Arabidopsis thaliana: one gene and its partners. The protein of the gene in region 1 purifies or fractionates together with the protein of each later gene. This does not show direct contact. Each region holds a gene or a part of one and is shown on either strand. Other genes may lie near its edges.

Evidence for each region.
Region 2: the proteins of AT5G28900 (region 1) and AT2G42230 fractionate together in Arabidopsis thaliana (co-fractionation; one large-scale study listed by BioGRID). This does not show direct contact.
Region 3: the proteins of AT5G28900 (region 1) and AT3G57890 fractionate together in Arabidopsis thaliana (co-fractionation; one large-scale study listed by BioGRID). This does not show direct contact.

What each region holds. Positions count from the first base shown.
Region 1 is NC_003076.8:10,923,933-10,930,984, reverse strand, and holds AT5G28900 (Calcium-binding EF-hand family protein), read right to left. Parts: upstream 5,351-7,052; 5' UTR 5,134-5,350; coding exon 4,981-5,133; intron 4,235-4,980; coding exon 4,007-4,234; intron 3,917-4,006; coding exon 3,811-3,916; intron 3,729-3,810; coding exon 3,629-3,728; intron 3,514-3,628; coding exon 3,408-3,513; intron 3,322-3,407; coding exon 3,231-3,321; intron 2,437-3,230; coding exon 2,295-2,436; intron 2,204-2,294; coding exon 2,056-2,203; intron 1,927-2,055; coding exon 1,817-1,926; intron 1,734-1,816; coding exon 1,577-1,733; intron 1,445-1,576; coding exon 1,319-1,444; intron 1,237-1,318; coding exon 1,093-1,236; 3' UTR 1,083-1,092; intron 948-1,082; 3' UTR 523-947; downstream 1-522. Other genes in the region: AT5G28910 (alpha-(1,6)-fucosyltransferase), read left to right, coding at 1-352.
Region 2 is NC_003071.7:17,592,909-17,598,446, forward strand, and holds AT2G42230 (C-CAP/cofactor C-like domain-containing protein), read right to left. Parts: upstream 3,758-5,538; 5' UTR 3,656-3,757; coding exon 3,170-3,655; exon of another isoform or gene 2,990-3,169; intron 2,895-2,989; coding exon 2,754-2,894; intron 2,630-2,753; coding exon 2,249-2,629; intron 2,148-2,248; coding exon 2,043-2,147; intron 1,956-2,042; coding exon 1,815-1,955; intron 1,677-1,814; coding exon of another isoform or gene 1,671-1,676; intron 1,537-1,670; coding exon 1,333-1,536; intron 1,226-1,332; coding exon 1,133-1,225; intron 1,037-1,132; coding exon 925-1,036; intron 841-924; coding exon 797-840; 3' UTR 503-796; downstream 1-502. Other genes in the region: AT2G42220 (Rhodanese/Cell cycle control phosphatase superfamily protein), read left to right, coding at 1-33, 139-243, 333-397; AT2G42240 (RNA-binding (RRM/RBD/RNP motifs) family protein), read left to right, coding at 3,936-4,199, 4,290-4,352, 4,564-4,648, 4,747-4,803, 5,049-5,121, 5,352-5,400, 5,514-5,538.
Region 3 is NC_003074.8:21,436,462-21,442,390, forward strand, and holds AT3G57890 (Tubulin binding cofactor C domain-containing protein), read left to right. Parts: upstream 1-1,622; 5' UTR 1,623-1,809; coding exon 1,810-2,316; intron 2,317-2,827; coding exon 2,828-2,935; intron 2,936-3,023; coding exon 3,024-3,164; intron 3,165-3,309; coding exon 3,310-3,684; intron 3,685-3,769; coding exon 3,770-3,874; intron 3,875-4,003; coding exon 4,004-4,144; intron 4,145-4,482; coding exon 4,483-4,686; intron 4,687-4,797; coding exon 4,798-4,890; intron 4,891-4,984; coding exon 4,985-5,096; intron 5,097-5,190; coding exon 5,191-5,234; 3' UTR 5,235-5,427; downstream 5,428-5,929. Other genes in the region: AT3G57900 (import inner membrane translocase subunit Tim17/Tim22/Tim23 family protein), read right to left, coding at 5,820-5,924.

The sequences.
Region 1 (7,052 bases):
CATGCATTTAGCTGATCGGATCAGAGATCGGTTTCCAGAGCTCAACAGGATCTGGCTCTCTACAGAGATGAAGGAAGTGGTGGACAGAAGTAAAGATTATGCTCACTGGAGATTCTATTACACGGAAGTGGCAAGACAAGTCGGTAATAAGTCGATGGCTGAGTATGAAGCGAGCCTCGGGAGAGAGATGAGCACAAACTATCCTCTGGTTAACTTCTTAATGGCGTCAGAAGCTGATTTCTTCGTCGGAGCATTGGGTTCCACTTGGTGTTTCCTCATCGATGGTATGAGGAATACGGGTGGGAAAGTCATGTCTGGTTATCTCAGTGTCAATAAAGATCGGTTCTGGTAACTTTGCGAGTTCCACACTATGTACATAATAAGACTCCTCTCCTTTTTTCTTCATCTGTTGCACAAAGAGTTTTCAGTATAATAAAGGGAGGTTTGGTTGACAAACAGTTCAGAGCAACCGCAAACCAACTAAACCGATTCCGATGTGAAGATTTGAAGATCAACTGAACAGAGCAAAGTGGCTTTTCCTTAAGAATTTCACAAATAAAAAGACATCACTTCAAGATCAATAGTAATAACACAACCAACCTCTTCTCATCTCAGTGACATCCTGTGTCTTCAGGAACCAACCAAAAATTAAAGGAACTATAGCATTGAAATTCACAAGTCTCAACATCTGGAGATGATGAAGTAACACCCAGAGATAGAAACATCAGAGCAAAGTGAATGCAATACAGGTGAAGAAGACTGTAAAATCTAGACGATTGTTAATAAATATAACTGTAGAATCAGCTAACAAATAAAGAGAAGTTAGAAAACAAATCCAAGCTAAGTATGGTATTCAACAGAGGATACTACCGGCTTTTCGTTTGTTTTTCACTTTCCTTCCTCAACAAAGCTCCAAATGTTCTTCTCAGGGACTTTACATTTCTCTTCTGCATGATTAAGTTATATTATGAAATAATAACATTTGCACAAGCATCAACATCAAAGTTTTTTCAGTTTCTTTTTTTTCTAATCCTTTTCCACTAGTTTTATCTTCTAGACACTACGGTTTTCCGTTGACTTACCTTTATGAACTCAAAAGGGAGCCTCCAGCGACGACTCATCCCAAACCTCAGCACTTCCATTAGATGCATCTTCAACATCTTCTTCCATTGATAGCCTAATATACTCTCTATGTGCAAAACGGTCCCAATCTGTCAATGTAGGGTTCTCTCGCTCCTGTTTCCGTTTGACATTAGAAATGTTATAAGACGCATGTGGTGGTGTGAAGAAGTAGCAAGGTAAATTAGATGATTAGTACCTGACGAATGAGGAATGGATCCCGGGTTTCAAATGCCATAAATTTGTTGAGATTAAATAGGATGTTGAAGACGTTTCCAGAGAGCTTTGAGCCTTTCAGGTCATGCAGCGTTATATGGCTTTCGTTCTGTGGAAGGAAATAAAAAACAATCAAACACAAAACAAAATCACAAGACTCAGAAAGAAAACTGGGAACACAAACTACTTCTGTGACTATACTAAATATAGAAAGAAGAAAACAAGAGATATATTGTTGAACCTCAGGTCCGATCATATCAATCATCTGACATAAGATATCCTCGAAAAGAACAGCCTCTTGCGCCATGCACTCCATTCTATGCAACTGCTCTTCATAAAAGAATTGCATCTCATTTCGCGTAATAATCCCATTTGCATCCAAGTCTATGCACTTAAACCTAGTCCAACGTATACTTGTGTCAGATAAAAGACTTAAAATGGTATCTGTCTGCAACTTTCGGACCCTTCTATCACAACTTACCAATATTCTAGGCTAGGCACTGACGATTTATCTTCTTCCGCAAGAATGAAATAGACAAAGTCCTCATACCCCATCTTCCCTTCAACTTTGTTAGTGAACTTCCTAGCAACCTGAGAAGAAACCAATGCATCTTAAGAGCAATAATAACTTTGAACGAGGAAAGAACTCTTAAAATAGAAGCAATATAAATAAAATCTTCAAGTAGTAGGCATTAAAGAGCAAGGTTTTTTAGACAGAACCTGGGAGAATATTCTGTCGACAATCCGGTAGGTAAGAGCATGGTTTCCATATCGCATAAGATTTTCTTTGTCAATCAGGAAATCGTGATCCGTATCCAGCTCCCAGAACTTGCAGTATATGACATAGAAATGCTCATACGAGAAGTATCTAATTGCCAAAGTGAATAGAAAAGTGATGTTAAATGAGCAAAAACAATACTATAAATACAACAATAGCACGCAAATATTTTTGTCAGTACCTCAACACTTTGTTAATATCTTCTTCTTCATCAGCATGTAGCATAGCATCAATTAAGTTTCCCCGTTTAAGCTCCCTAAATGTAATTCGACCATTGCCAGATCTATTTATGTAATAAAATATTCGGTAGGTGACAGTTTCAGCTGTTTCAGCAAAATACAAATTGTATCAGACAGAAAAGCATCCTTAAAAATTTAGCTTTGATACCGGTAGCAGCAAATACCAAAGAATATGGACTCCAGATATCTAGAAAGCAATCAAAGTGTTCTCGGGAATTCATTACTAACTGACGCATGATTCATAAACAAGCTCCAGAATTTATTTTTTCTGATATTGATTATATCTGCAGGATTCATAGACTGAAGATGATTCATTCCGTGCTTGAAAGCTTTATGGATTTGCAAGTTATAAGATGATGTCTAACACAACAAAACAAAGAAACCGTATCTTATAAAAATTTTAAAATCCATACAGAGTAATGCCACATTTATTACTGTATCTCGATGCATCAATTATCAAAATTATTTATTTCACTAGAAATATTATTGATGTGGTAACCATTCGACAGATTTAGATAAGTACATGGCAAACTTATTCACTCATTCTTCTCAACTAGGGCTGTAGCTACCAATATACTTCGAAGAATAAAATGTACAATCAAACTCAATTACTAAACACCATTACTCAAGCAATATCAAGAAGAAATACTATTGATCTGGTAACCATCTGACAGATTTAGATAAGTACATCATACCAAAGTGGCAAACTTATTCACTCATTCTTCTCAACTAGGGCTGTAGCTACCAATATACTTCAAAGAATAAAATGCACAACCAAACTCAATTACTAAACACCATTACTCAAGCAATACCAAGCGGAAAAAGAAAACATGAGATAACTTAGGATACTAAAAATGTAAATAAAGTTGAGACCTAACCATATCTTTCTTGGAATTCAGGTGTGGATTGCAGGAACTCTAGCCCAGGATGCGTCGCCAACAGTTCTTTGAGTAGTGGTTTGAAATCATCCTGCCATGAAAAAAAGAAAAGAATCTGGAATATAATAAACTCGCTCTCATGACTGACTGAATATGCAAATCTTAAAAGAAAATAACCTTAACAATGAAACTCTGATCTTTCTGCTTTAGTATCTTGAAGATTTGGGTCGTTGTATCCATTATCAACATGTTCCCGTTTACCCAAAAATCAATAAATGCATCTCTGTAGAAACAAACACGAAAAACTGTTATACTGGGTGGTGTTTCAGTAAACTATGCAGACATGAAGAGGAAGCACCATACAAAAAAAAAAAAAGCATAGAAGAAGCGGCACACACCTAGTAACAAAACCTGTATTGTTGAGATCGATCTTCCGGAAAAGGGAAGTGGAGAAGAAAGATGGGAGCTTGCAGATTTCTCTGGTGACTAACTTGAATTCTGAGTATTGATTGAAAATGGAGAAAAAAGTTAATAAACAGTTCAAATATAATTAGTAGAAAACAAATGACTGACTTCTAACCTTGTATCTGCAAGCCATCCATGTGACCATAAAAGAAGTGATTGATTCTAAACATACATTGCTCTTTAATCTCGCTTGGTGGAGGGCGACCATTTTGGAAATAAAACTAGAATCATTTCAAGTTAAGAAATCAGTGAGTTAACTCCATTCCATTACTATATATATATAAAGAAGGAAGAAAAAGAGGAAAAGAAACCTGAGGTATAGGCTCTTTAACAGGCTCGTTGACTACTTTGAGAGTAGAACCTAAGTTAGAAGGGGCTCTCTGTTTGGTTGTACGGGGTGAACCACAACTCCTTGGTGAAAGCGGAGGAGCACTTCCCGCAGGAAACATAGATGGTATAGTGGCAGAATTAGAACCCGATGCACTTCCAGTAACATTGATAGGAGCTCCAGCTACAGCATCCTTAAGCAATGATCCAACCTAGAAAACCAACGAGAAAAAGATTAGACTAGAGATTCCAGTGAATAGAGAGTAATTAAGCAACCAAATCTCATTAACCACCTAAGGCATCATTGTCATAACTCACACAATCCAAGAAAGATTCAAACTTTACACCAATCTTCAACACCACAGAGTAATTTAGCAAACAAATCTCATTAACGTAAGCTTCATTGTAATACTCACATAAGAAAATAAGAATATACGTCATAACTCACAGAATCAAAAAATGATTCAAACTTTACACCAATCTTTCAACACCACAGAGTAAATCTCAGTAACCTAAGCATCAATGTAACACTCACCAACACTATCAAAGAAAGATACGAACTTTACACCACAGAGTAATTAAGCAACCGAATCTAAGTAACCACCTAAGGCATCATTATAATACTCACTAACACAATCAGAGAAATATTCGAACTTTACACCATTCTCAGTAAGCTAAGCATCATTGTAATAACTAACACTATCAAAGATCCCAACTTTACACCAATCCTCAACAGAAACCAGAGAGTAATTAAGCAACCAAATATCAGTAACCACCTAAGGCATCACTGTAATACCCACTAACAGTATCAAAGAAAGATTCAAACTTTACACCAATCCTCAACACCACAGAGTAAGTAAGCAACCGAAGTATCATTGTAACATTACGAAAGAAAGATTCGAACTAACAGAGAGTAAGCTAAGAAGCATGAGTGTAAGAATAGTGAAAAAGCAGAAACCTGTCGCTGAGCTTCGGGAAGAGAAAGCCACTGGTCGAAGAGCTTCTGAGTGAATCCAGGTTTAGAATTGAGAACAAAGGAAGACATTTCCTGAAGCTGCAACAAATCTGCATCCAAACAAGCCATATCTCCGGGAATAACCGTATCCACCATATTTAATCAATCGCATCAAAGTCGAGAAGATGAGAGAATGATCTTTGAGGCGAGCGAAATTGGAATTTTGAACAAAGTCGAGATCTTCTTCACCAACACATCGAATCTAGTCTTCCTTCTTCTCCGATTCCGAACAAGGAAATGAGACAGCCAAATTCTTTTATTTATTTATTCTTTTGAGCAATCTGAAATAAATAAATAAATTAGAGAGATACCCAAAAAATACTTGAAACACAAAAAGTTGATTTTAAGGGTTTATAATTTATTAAATGTTTGGGTTTGAGTTAAGTTTTTTGGGGTTTAGGGTTTATTTTTTAGAGTTTAGGATCTAGTTTTGAAAACTTTAAAAGTAATTTTGTGGTATTTTCAGAAAATAATATATTTTAGTGGTACTTTCAAAAAAATATAAACTACTAATAATGTTTTATAACAAAAATTAATTTTATGGTATTTTTAAAAATATGTCCATAAATAAATTAATATTTCGTTGACTAAATAATAAAAATAAGTAAGTGTATTTGAAGTAGAAATTTTTTTTCTCAACATGTGGTTGGATTCTTGATTTTTTCTATATTTTGTCAACCACACATTAGTTAAAATATTACTTCATAATTGGTAGTCCAATCTTAAGGAAAAATATTTACGAAACAAATTTCATATAATATACTATCTAGAGTAACGAGTTAGACAATCTACCTTATACAAGAGCCATGGATTCTAGAAAGAAAGAAAGTTTTATATATCATATAAAAAATACTTGACGAATGAGAAACATATGATGTGTTTCATATCATGTTTTCCATATTTCATAAGATTTTCTTTGTCAATCGGGAAATCGTGATCTTTATCTTTATCACATAAATTATAATATATGACATAGAAATGCTCTTATGAAAAGTATTTTGTTGCCAAATAAATAGAAATGTGTTGATATCAAAAAAACTAACACAAAACTATAGTTTGCAAATACGTGTAACTTAAAGTCTGACTCAATATTTATAACAACAAGAAAAAAAAACTATTTTTGTTAGTATCTCAACACTTTGTTGATATCTTCTTCTTGATCACCATAAAGCATATCATCAATTAAGTTTCCACGTTTAAGCGTTCTAATTGTATGTAGATCATATCTAGATCGATTTATGTCATAAGATATTTTATAGGTAACTATTTCAACTAGTCCATGGAAATAAAAATTGCATTCTTGAAAACCTGAGACATGGTAAAATCTAATCAGGTTCACATAATTTTTCTTGACTAAATCACATATCATATATAATTCATGTACTTTTACCAAATTTAGCAAAATTATCCCCTTATTAACAACATTAACTAGGGAAAAGAAAAACTATAGTAATCTGTCATTCATCAGATCTCGTATGTTCTATATCATCTTCATCCATGTAATTTCTTTCTAGATTACCTCATTTGCCCACAAAGACATCAAAAGAGAAATTATGATGGTCACTACAAAACTTAAGAGGCAAAATATAACGTAAATTATATATATGAAAGGAGCTCAACTCTCTCCCACAACTTGACACATCAGCACATGAGAGCTTGCCACCTAGACTTATTAAAATAAGTAAAATATAATTAGTAATTAATTCAACATATGAACCTATCATAAGTAAGAACTTCAACCATCACTCTTTCTATATTTTTAAATATTTTCTTGAGCACTATTAACCTTAAATTTGTAACAAATCCTCTAACATGTTGATTTCATAACAAATTTAGCTGGTGAAATGTGTGTCGATCAATTAGAAAATATAGTTGTTTTTTATAAAATGATAGGAAGAAAAATAAACGGTAAATTATAACGATTGTGATTCTTTCAAGTTATTTTTTAACGTATGAAGTTCATATATGTTGGTATGGTGTTATTAAAGATATTAAATTATTATGATTATAGACAT
Region 2 (5,538 bases), on another chromosome or scaffold:
GTGTAACATCAGGGCTACAATCTGTAAAACCAGGTTTGATCCCATTTGGTTTCATCTAAGATCATTTCTTGAGGGGTTTTGGAGATAGTTTGGTTTGAGAAGGATAATGAATCGGATTTACTGTTGTTGCGACTTTAGGGACATTTGAATCCGTCGGTTCCACTGAGTTGCAGAATGCAGGCAAAGCAGGGCTTATCACAATTCAAGGCAAGATCTCAGCAGTCTTAGGGACAGTACTCGTCTGTAAGTTTAATTTACATAGAGCTGAAGAATATAGAGAATGTTGTTTGGTCTTTCCTTTGGTTATGAGTAAGACTTTGTTGAACTTGCAGGTGCTTATTTGTTCATACAGTTCTTCCCGGACCAAGCAGAGAAGCTCTTTCCTCCAACAAGCTAAGACAAGACAAAGAAAACAATTGAGGCAGACATGTTTTCACATTTTCTGCCTGTTTTGAATGTGATGCTTAAGAGAAAATTCAAAATATTTAAAATTCCCAAGTAGTAGTTACTAAAAGATTTATATATATGGTATTGAGAAAAGTTGTTATAACAATTGAAAGAAATCAACAACAAGACAAGATGGCTTAATGTTTTTCAAGGACAAAAACGTGGATATTTAAGACTAATAAATACGATAAAAGCAGAGAGAAACCTACACACAAAAAAACAGAGCTTTAGGAGTTAGAGAGCGTGCTGTGCAGTTAAATTCTGATGTCAAACGTGCTAGCAAATCTCTGAGAAGGAACGGATCAAGAGAACTCTACAGTGACTCTGACATTTTCAATCGCCATTGGTCTTAATCGCCTTGTAGGCAGTAAAGTTGCCGAATATTTCCCGTCGCTGTCACCAAAAGAAAGAGATACATATAGATCATTGGCTGGCCAAAGGAGTAAATGAACTAGAATGGGGATTTTATTTGATTACCGTATAGCCAGTCTTTGAAATACATGTGGAACGCTGTAGTGAGTTCTCGTTTTCGGTTTTCTTCGAGAGGTGTTTCTCTCAAGGATTGTCTTGTTTCCTCTAAGTTCTTAAGCTGCTCAAAACCAAAACACAGTTAAGGGATCAGATGCTGAAGTATGGATGAAAAAGAAACGAGCAATTTTATGCGGAAAGCAAATAAAAAACATACGTTTGTCTGCTGCACTGCCTTATATGCATCTGGCAATGGAAATGGATTGTCTTTCGTGGAACCAATCGCCTCACCCGCAAACCAGTTTGGGATCTGAACCAGAGACATTGATGTGAGAAATTAACCCACGAACACAATCTTAATAACCAATATCACTAGTTACTAGAGGAAAATTAAACTAACAAAAAGGGGAATCTAACCAAAAAGGTAGTGAACTGGTCAGGGTCCACACAAGAAGCCGGTTCAGCTTGTTTATCAGAGGCACCAGTCGGATGTGATAGTGAGTCATGCGGATCAATTGCTCCGAGCGCCAAGGATTCGTTCCATTTGTTGATAGTTGGCTGAATTCCTACCTCGGTTATGTGCTCCTCCAAGTGTGAGTAAAATGTATTATATGGAGCAACCTGGAACAGATAACAGTCACATTGATGCCAACAGTTATAGACAACACATCAGAAGATGTTTCCACTTAACTCAGTTGAAGAAGTGACTTTAACAGCATGCTCAATTTTCCAAACACCAGGAACCATTAATACGATCATGACTATACCAGGATATTAACACAGGAAAGATTTAGCCTAGAGTTAAAAGAAAAACTGTAGTCTATTTATTAATTTCAGCTGAATATCAGGGCGGGAAAGAAGAGTTATGTATGCAGCTCAATCTTAAATAGACATATCACCTGTAGTTTGTGGTTATCACCAACTATAAGAGGTCGCTGATTGACTCCCAAAAAGAACACACATTCACGGCAATTGGCGATGCAAATTCGTTTGGTAGCTACAATCACATGAACTCTCTCACAATGCTCAACTTTTACTGCCTGCAAAGAACATAAAATATTATCACTGCATTCTAACCTGAACCTCGCTAACAAAGACTAAAACAGAAAGGAGTATATTTGCCGTACCTTGCCAGCAGCTCCCAGAACGATAGTAGAATCAGAACACCCATACACAGTTGCATATCTCAATGGCGCTAACAGATAAATAACAGAATCATGGCAATTGGCAACCTGCAGAATACACAAAACATGCAATTGACGTGCATACATGAGTAAACGAAACTAAATGAGGGATTGCTGTTTAAAATGCAAATTAGTTGTTCAATACGGACCTTCACTGATCTACCCTTAAGATCAGAAGCCTGCTTGAAAAGTGAGGTCTTAGAGACTCCCTCAATAATACATGGACCTCTGTCGTTAGATGAAACTTTATTAAGAGCTACACTAGAATCAGCCATTGCAGCATTCTGATCAGAGGCATTAGATGCCCCATTTTCTTTCCCAGAGATTCTGTTAGAAATGCTTTCTAAGGCGGAAGCTATGTCTTTGAGAAGCCAATCATTCACTTGGGAAGCAGGAACGGGGACAGCGGGCATATCAGGATCAGAATTCGCAAAAAAAGGAGTAGCTTGGCTTAAAGAAGGTACATCAAATCCCTTATCACCATAATGAACAAGAAACCCAATGTGCTCCAAACTCTCCATAGACAGGACCTGAGGAGGAGATTCGGACCATCTAGCATGAGATATTCGTTCTTTTCCATTTCCCATAATATTGCATCACAACATAAAATTTTCTATCCATCTGATACAAACATAAAAAAAGTTTAGCACATACCAAAGAATCATCTCCTTGTCCCTCCACAGGCTCTGCAAGGAGAGAAATAATATTTGCAATGTGCTTTTGCAGATACGATAATTGATGAGCTTCTTCATCTGTCGGTGATGGCATAAACCGACGGCTGTTGCTACGAACAAGCTGCAAGATGATGAAAGGAAATTTAACTTAAACTCAACAGCTACAAGGATGTCTCTACCCATATGATAGAAACAGTAATGAGAACAATTATCGGTAAAATATTTCAAATATCAGACAATCCTTTTCATATGTTTCTGAATGATAACGTAATATTATTTAACTTGCATTGCAAAATTATAGTAAAATCCAATGCAAAATGAAATTTTTTAAACCAAATAGATCACAAGATAACGTTTTGAGCCACATTACATGATTAAGAGAATAAAAAAGCTTGCCTGAATTGGAGATAATGCCGACAAGTATCCATCAAAAGCAGAAGTCGAAGGCCAAACATCAGCCACAGAAGCAGAGTCTTTATGCGTCCTAGGCAATAACTTCTTATACGATTGAATGTAGAGAAACAATATCAGATCCCTCAAATCAGCTCCCACGGAATCAACTTCCTCAGGTTTGGCCAAAACCAATGGGTCAGTCTCGCAATGGAGCACCGAAGAGAGAGTTTCGAGAACGAGGCGCGCATGGTCATCGGAGATCGAGAGTGCATCGGAAATGGCAGCAGATCCGACGCGATGATTCGTCGCCAAAGAAGCTAACTTTTGCTTGATCGGAGCTAGAGTTTGAATCGGGTCGGTAAAAACGAGCTTCTGGATCGGAAGAAGGCCGTGCTCGAAAGGAACACGTCTTGGGTGGATTATTAAATTCGAATTTTGAATCGGGTCTGGGTCAGGTGGTGGTGATTGGTCGATGAGCTCTTCCGTCATTATGCTTTAAACCAGAGAACGAGAGAAAAAGAACTGTTATGAATGAAGTTGCAGATCTTTGAACATAGGAACAATTGTCATCAAGAAGAAGAAAAAAAGAGAGAGAGTGTTATGTTACAGTGTGTGCAACCACATGCTATTATCCTACGCCTGGTGATGAACAATGGGTCAAAAAGGCCGATATTTAAATGGGCTTTAAACGGCCCATTAAGTAACGCGATTAGTTTCTTCTCCGTTGTAAACTGCGACTTTCACCGGCCACGAGATTAAGTCGTTGTCAATGGATGATTTGGAAGCTTACTATTCTCACTATAATTTACCGGCGATGGTTCCTCCTCCGCCGCCGGGAGTTTCTCCGATTCCAATTACTTCAGCTCATTCCGTCTATTTGCCTACCCATGTCTCAATTGGAGCTCGCGATGAGGTTAGGACGCTTTTCGTCGCCGGACTTCCTGAAGATGTCAAGCCTCGGGAGATCTACAATCTCTTTCGTGAGTTCCCAGGATATGAGACTTCGCATCTCCGGAGCTCAGATGGAGCTAAGGTAATCATTTTCTATCTCTCCGGATTTGTGATTTGGGTAATGATGTTTCCCGGCGAAGAGACTGAGAATCTTACTTTATTTGTTTGGTAGCCCTTCGCATTTGCTGTGTTCTCGGATCTGCAATCAGCTGTAGCGGTGATGCATGCTCTCAATGTGAGTACAAATTTCTTCAAACTTGCTCTTGCAATGTGTCGCCGATGTATCTACTTACAAAGCATTAAGTAAATTTGGTATCTTTATGGTTGTTCTTAATTCAATCTAGTAAATTGAAATCATTCGGTTGGGATTTGTATGCGTAAGTGAATAAGCTTTGTCATTTGCCTAGATTAAGAAACTTTCTGAATTTTATTTCTGAACCTTTCAGGGAATGGTGTTTGATCTTGAAAAGCATTCTACTCTTCACATTGACCTTGCCAAATCAAATCCCAAATCTAAGCGTTCAAGAACAGGCAAGTAGTAGGATTCTTTCGGTTCGGTAGCTCAATAAAAATTTGACCTTTGCTATTGTTGTGTTAATTTTTATTTTGTGATTTTTGTGATATGGTAGATGATGGTTGGGAAAGCTTGAAAAAACTCAAGTCTTGGAACACTACTACTGAATCTGGTAAGATCATTGGCACACACCTTCATCTTGAGGCTTCTTGTAACCTTCTGTATTTTATGTTTCTTGTAACTGAATGTTTGTGTAGTATATATATTTTCAAACTTCCAATCTTCATGACCATCACGCTCATGCATGCTAGCTCTTTTTGGTTTAAGATTTCACACTTGGGCTTTAAGTGCCGTCAACATGGTTTCACGTTTCTGAAAACTCACACTGCACATTCTTGCACGTTTGGGCACTAGCAGGTTTTGGCAGCTTTCAAACTCCTGGAATGAGTAGTTCTGCTTACAACACAATTGGTTATTCACCTGCACAAAGGTCATCTGCACTACTTGAGCACATTTCTAGTTCCTTGTGAATGCTTAGATTCTGTTTCTTTGTTGCACACTCTTTTCTTGTACCTCTGCCTTGAAAATCTGACCTACTTAAGGATTAGCTGAACTAGTCCTAGCTCACATGTCTAGATACTGGTTACGAGAGTGCTTGTTCTTTCTTAGCTATTAGCTCACGAAACTCAGGGTCTCATTAAATTCTTTTTGCTCGTTCAGTCAAGGAATTGCTAATGTTGCTGGGAGGGCACCGACTTCTAGAAAACCTGTAAGCTTCTGCCTATTTTATACTTCATATGAGTATTGTTTTCTGTCTGGACGAAAAACAGTGAGGTAAACTATTCTTACCAGTGAACATGACAATCTTTGTTCCTTTGACAGAGTAAGGCGGCAGATCCTTGTCCAA
Region 3 (5,929 bases), on another chromosome or scaffold:
GCTTTACTTCGAAAATTTCCAGATATCCGGAATTTCGAATATCCGGAATTTTTTGTGATATTTGCGGATATCCGCTTTGATACATTTAAATATTAAAAAAATATGTATACTATATAACTATATCATATATTCAAAAAATTTATCCGTGCGTTCCTTAATTGGTGTCTCCGTGTGCTTTTAAAATAAGTTCTAAATACCAAACATAACCGTTGTTGGTATCACCGGTCAACAAAATATTATCAAACTAATTCCAAAACTAAAACCCGATAGTTTTTTGATGCCATTGATCAAAACATAACATAAAAAAAAATGATCAAACAAACATCTTAACATAAAAACATAAAATGACAACAATACACAAACTATTTATGATATCTATATATAGATATACTATATTTTCTAATATATATAAAAAGATACGGATCGAAGCGGATATTCGATTTTTTAAAAAACAATATTTATTATTTGATTCGATTTTTACGAATACTATATTTTTCTATTTGCTTTGCTCCAAAATCTTACGAATATTCGGATTTTTCGAATCAAATTAAATCAAATACCGAATCGAAACGGATCAAATCAAATCAAATCAGAATATTGAGCTAGCTGAATGAATGAGATAACCTAAGAATCCAAAAGTTGATAGTGTTCCCTTTCCGAATTCCAATAGTAGCTTGATAACATTTATTTAACGGCGATAAATTCAACCGTTAGTTTGATTACCAATCAAATAATTGCTTGCAATAGACGGATGAAACGAGTGGTAAGAATAGGTGATTGAAACAAACGGTTAAAAGCTTAAACAAAATAGGTGAGTTTGCAACCTCTCTTGTTCACCATTGGAATATTTTAGTTATTTAACGTTTCTTAGATTTTTAAAACTGTAATGTATTTGAATTATTTACTAAAGAGTTTTGTTTTTCTTTGTTTTTTAAATATTTTTAGTTATTTATTAAATATTTTAATTTAGTTTTTTTTTTTTACTGTTTAACCGTTTGTTACTAATCATAACTATTATTTAACGGTTCATTTTAAATTATTTATCATTTTTTCTTTTAATATATTTTCTAACCGTTTTTTTTTATCAGTCTTTTTTGTAAGTGTTAAATAAAATAACCGCCTTATTTAAACGATATTACCAATTGGTTTAATTTTAGGTTGTTCATCTTTTCTAACCGTTTTTTTCTACCCGCCTTTTTCTGTAACTGCTAAAAAACATAACCGTCTCATTTAAACGATGTTTACCCATTGCAAACCATTTTCCTTAAACAAGCGGACAATATTTAAATTGCAATGAAAGCGAGTTATGAGTTCTTTTGGCCTAAACTTCCCAATTTTATCTCTCTTTTTCCCACTAATCTTCTAACAATTTTAATTAACAGTGACAACTTACAAGTACTTAGGTAACCAAGTATATTTCCCTATTGTAAAACCTAATTATGAGTTGTGATGATCACCTTTTCTCCTTTTGACGAACGCTTAGGACCTAACTTATTGCAACAATGGCCTAACTAAAACTTAAATGCGATTTGCATTCAATTCTCAAATGGGCCTCTTTAGTTAACATGTTATCTCCGTTCATCTGACGTGTCATAGCTCAGATCAAAGGTTAATCTACTCGTAAATCCAACGACCAAAGAAACGAAGCGTACGTTACTAACATACACGTGCACGCACTGTAACCATCTCTCTCTCTGCTCTTCTCCTTCAATGAAATGATTCGTCACCCAAAGAAAGATCTGCAACTTCACCACCGGACCAGTCTCTCTCTATCTCTTCTGTCTCTCTACCTCGCGCGACGAATCAATCATGACTGAAGAACAAGACCTCATCGACCAATCACCACCACCTTCAGCACCCGACCCTGAACCAAACTCGAGCACGAATCCGAATTCAGTAATCCATCCAAGGCGTGTGTCTTTCGAGCACGGACTCCTCCCGATCCAGAAACTCGTTTTCACCGACCCGATCCAAACCTTAGCCCCTGTCAAGCAGAAGCTAGCCGATGCGGCTTCGAATAACCGCGTTGGATCGGCTGCAATCGCCGACGTTCTCCAGATCTCCGGCGACCATGCGCGTCTCGTTCTCGAGACTCTCGGTTCGGTGCTTCATTCCGAGTCTGACCCTCTGGTTCGGGCGAAACCTGAGGAAGTTGATTCCGTCGGAGCTGATTTGCGGGATCTTATTTTGTTCCTGTACATTCAATCGTATAAGAAGTTGCTTCCTAGGACGCATAAGGACTCCGCAGCGGTGGCTGATGTTTGGCCATCGACTTCAGCTTTTGATGGATACTTGTCTGCGTTATCGCCAATTCAGGCAAGTTTCTTACTTTTTTTGGCCCTCTTATTATAATGTGCCTCAATCCCAGCGCCTGCGATTTGTTTGGTATTGAAATGGAACTGTTGTACTCGAGTATGGAATTGGAACGTGGTAGAGAATAACTTATTTCCATTTCGCATTGTATTTAACTAAAATTTGCAATGCAAGTTTAAGTTTTCTGAGTCATTTGATTTACCTGAAACTTAGAGTTAAGCAATGTCGGAAATTTGGGTGATTAATTGAATTGATGGTGGCTATAGTTTCGTAACAATTCTCAATGAGGAAGATGCTTACTTGTATTTAATTGCCAGTCCCCTTTCTCTGATGACTCTGGGGCAATGGTAATTGGTTAGTTTACTAACTAAAGTCAAACAGTCGCCAGCTTGCTTTGTTTTGTGGTTCGGAATCTGATTCTTTTTCCGTTGTACCTTATTTTGTTTGGTCCTTTCACGTGGTTTATTTGGTGATAATGCTTGGTGTGTTCTTGAATTTTGACTCGGGTCTCCAGTCCTGTAATATTCTGTTTCCTGTGTGGTATGGATGTTCTATTGAGTCTTTTAGAAAACAGTCATATAATCTTAAGCTTTTCAGTGTTTTCTACAGTCACTGTTCTTTGGTATTCTATCGTTTCTCATCACATGGGTCGAACCAACTTTATTGGAGCTAAAATTGTTATTTATATCTCCTTTTCATCATTTCTGCAGCTTGTTCGCAGCAACAGCCGTCGATTTATGCCATCACAGGCAGATGATGAAGCTCATCAGTTGTCATATCTGCAAAAACATTTAGCAAACATCATTTCTCTCCTTGCAGAGCCTGTGGAGGGAGAAGGAGATGAATCATTGGTAAGTTCTAATCTTTCTTATATTCTCAGGGGGTGTCACTGTTCTAAGCTACAAGAATATAAAATTCTGATGTTGGAATAAGAATTTTTTAGGAAATGAAAGAGAACACAAGTTAATTTTTTTTTTCTTGTCCAATATCGTTCAGGTTTTCTCTATGGAGGCGTTCGAGCATCTGCGTTTTCTTGTTCAGTTTGGTGATAAGGGATCTGATGTATCTCCATTGAGCCAAGCTACTCCTTTTTTTGCAAATTCTGATCCGGATATGCCCGCTGTTCCAGTCCCCGCTTCCCAAGTGCATGACTGGCTTCTGCAAAACATAGCTTCCGCTTTAGAAAGCATTACTGAGAGAATTTCTGGAAAAGAGAACGGACCTTCTAACGATCAAGATGATGCGATGTCAGATGTTTGTGCTGCTCCGAACAAGGTTGCACCTAGTACTAGAGGCCCGTGTTTAATCGAGGGAGTCTCCAAGACTTCACTTGTTAAGCAAGCCTCCGATCTAAGGGGTAGATCTGTGAAGGTCTGACTGTTCCTTGTTCCGTTTTTCTTCCAGTCATGGAATCTCTGTGCAAGCATGTCAACTCCTTGTTTTGTGTATTTTTCAGGTTGTCAATTGCCATGATTCTGTAATTTATCTTTTAGCACCATTGCGATATGCAACTGTGCACGGATGTTCTGATACTACTATAGTTTTGGGAGCTGTTGGCAAGGTATGGAAACAATGCTTCTTCCTTCTTTATCTTTTCTGAAGATAGTCAAAGCAACATTTAACAAGTTATAATATCTGCCAACTTTTATTAAAAGATGTATCAAACATAATTCCGTATTTATTTCTGCAGGCAATAAAAGTTGAGCACTGTGAAAGAGTTCATGTGATTGTAGCTGCCAAACGAGTGTGCATTGCCAATTGTCGTGAATGTGTATTCTTCTTGGGAGTCAATCAGCGGCCACTTATTGTTGGTGATAACCACAAACTGCAGGTGAAGCTTCTCTTTAAGATTGTGGTTTAATTTACAAGTTTTATGTCATGTTGCTCTTATTTACCTTTCTGATATTAAGGTAAAAAAAATTGAGTGGCTAGACTTTTTACTAGATTTAGTTTGGTTAGTTTGGTTAATAAGCCGTTTCGGACACGTCATCAAGTCTAGTGGAAACAAACTTGGAGGGGTGGCTAGACTGCTGCTAGATACGTTTAGTCAAATGTTTTCCTCAAGAAGGTTTTACTGGTTTTTAAGAGTGCGGGCATTGTCAGATATTGCTTCTAGTGATTATGGGCTTCTATTTTTAAAGTGCTGGCATCAATTTGACTTTGTTTCAGGTCGCTCCATATAATACATTTTACTCTCATTTGGAAGAGCACATGAGGGAGGTAGGGCTTGAGCCAACGATCAACAAATGGGACAAACCATTGGCCCTGGGAGCTGTGGATCCACATGACTCCCTGTCACATCCTGCCGGTGTTGCTGATGCACAGGCTGAATCAGCTGCTTCTGTAGACCCTGACCAGTTCGTAAACTTTTTGGTACATTTTCTATTTGGGTCTAACATTTACGTCAATAATTGGTGAATGCTTTTCAGTGTCATGAAGCATCTAATGACGTGTTTTTCGGTGGTATCAATGACAATGGCACAGATCCCAAACTGGTTTAGCGGCGCGGAGCTTGGTTCGACGAAAGACAATCCATTTCCATTGCCAGATGCTTATATGGCAGCTCAGCAGAGAAACGTATGTTTTAAAGTTATACTTAACCAGATAAACAAATGCATTTGTTATTTTTGTCCATATCTGATCTTGTATCTGCAATTTTTTTTGTCATCAGCTTAAGAACTTTGAAGAAACAAGACGATCGTTAAAAGAGGCGCCTCTAGAAGAAAACCGGAAACGAGAGCTATCAAGTGCACTCCATGTTTATTTCAAAGACTGGCTTTACGGTAAGAAAACTTTCTCTGAATCGATCCCTACTTTACTTTATTGATATGCATCATTCATTAGGTTTTGACTTAGTCTATGTTTTTGTTGCGACAGCATCTGGAAATATAAGGCAACTCTACTGCCTACAAGGTGACTAATAAGAATAATAGACCAAGCGGAAAGTGTCTTGTTCATGTAGAGCTCCTTCGATCATATTTGGCATATTGCTAGTGAAGAAACCCCACCCCAAGACCAAAAGAAAAAAGAAAAAAGAGAAATCAGCCTGATTCAGTGATTTGTAGTTTGGAACCAATACTTCACAACGTAACTTATCTGCACAGAAATACTCTCTTAAAGCTTTCGTTTAGATTATTGTTTTCTTGATTTCTGCTTTTCTTTCCTTGACATTTCAATCCATCGTTTTTGTTCCCTTCTCTATTGAAAATCTCATCTTCAAATAGAGCATGATGACTTGAATTGTTATAAGTTATAACTTGTAAGCAAAACTGTTTTGATAGATAGTCTTGTCTTGGTCAAATAGATTTAAGTGGACGCAAGAGTTAGGCTACTACCATGGTAGGTGCAAATTTCTGAAGAAGTTTTAGAGCTCCAAAATTTCTCATATTTGCAGAATCTCATATTCGTAGAAACATCCAAACAATGCAACATAACATGAACATCTCAAGATACAAAAACAGAAGGACATGGGATGGAACAGAGATATCCATGAGCGCAGGATCCAGCTAATAATGAGTTCTTGCTACTTTAGTCATTGTAATGTGTGCTCCATTGAAGAAATCTCTCTTAGCTCTAAAGTTCTGCACCAACTGTTCAACACCAATGAACACCTCCA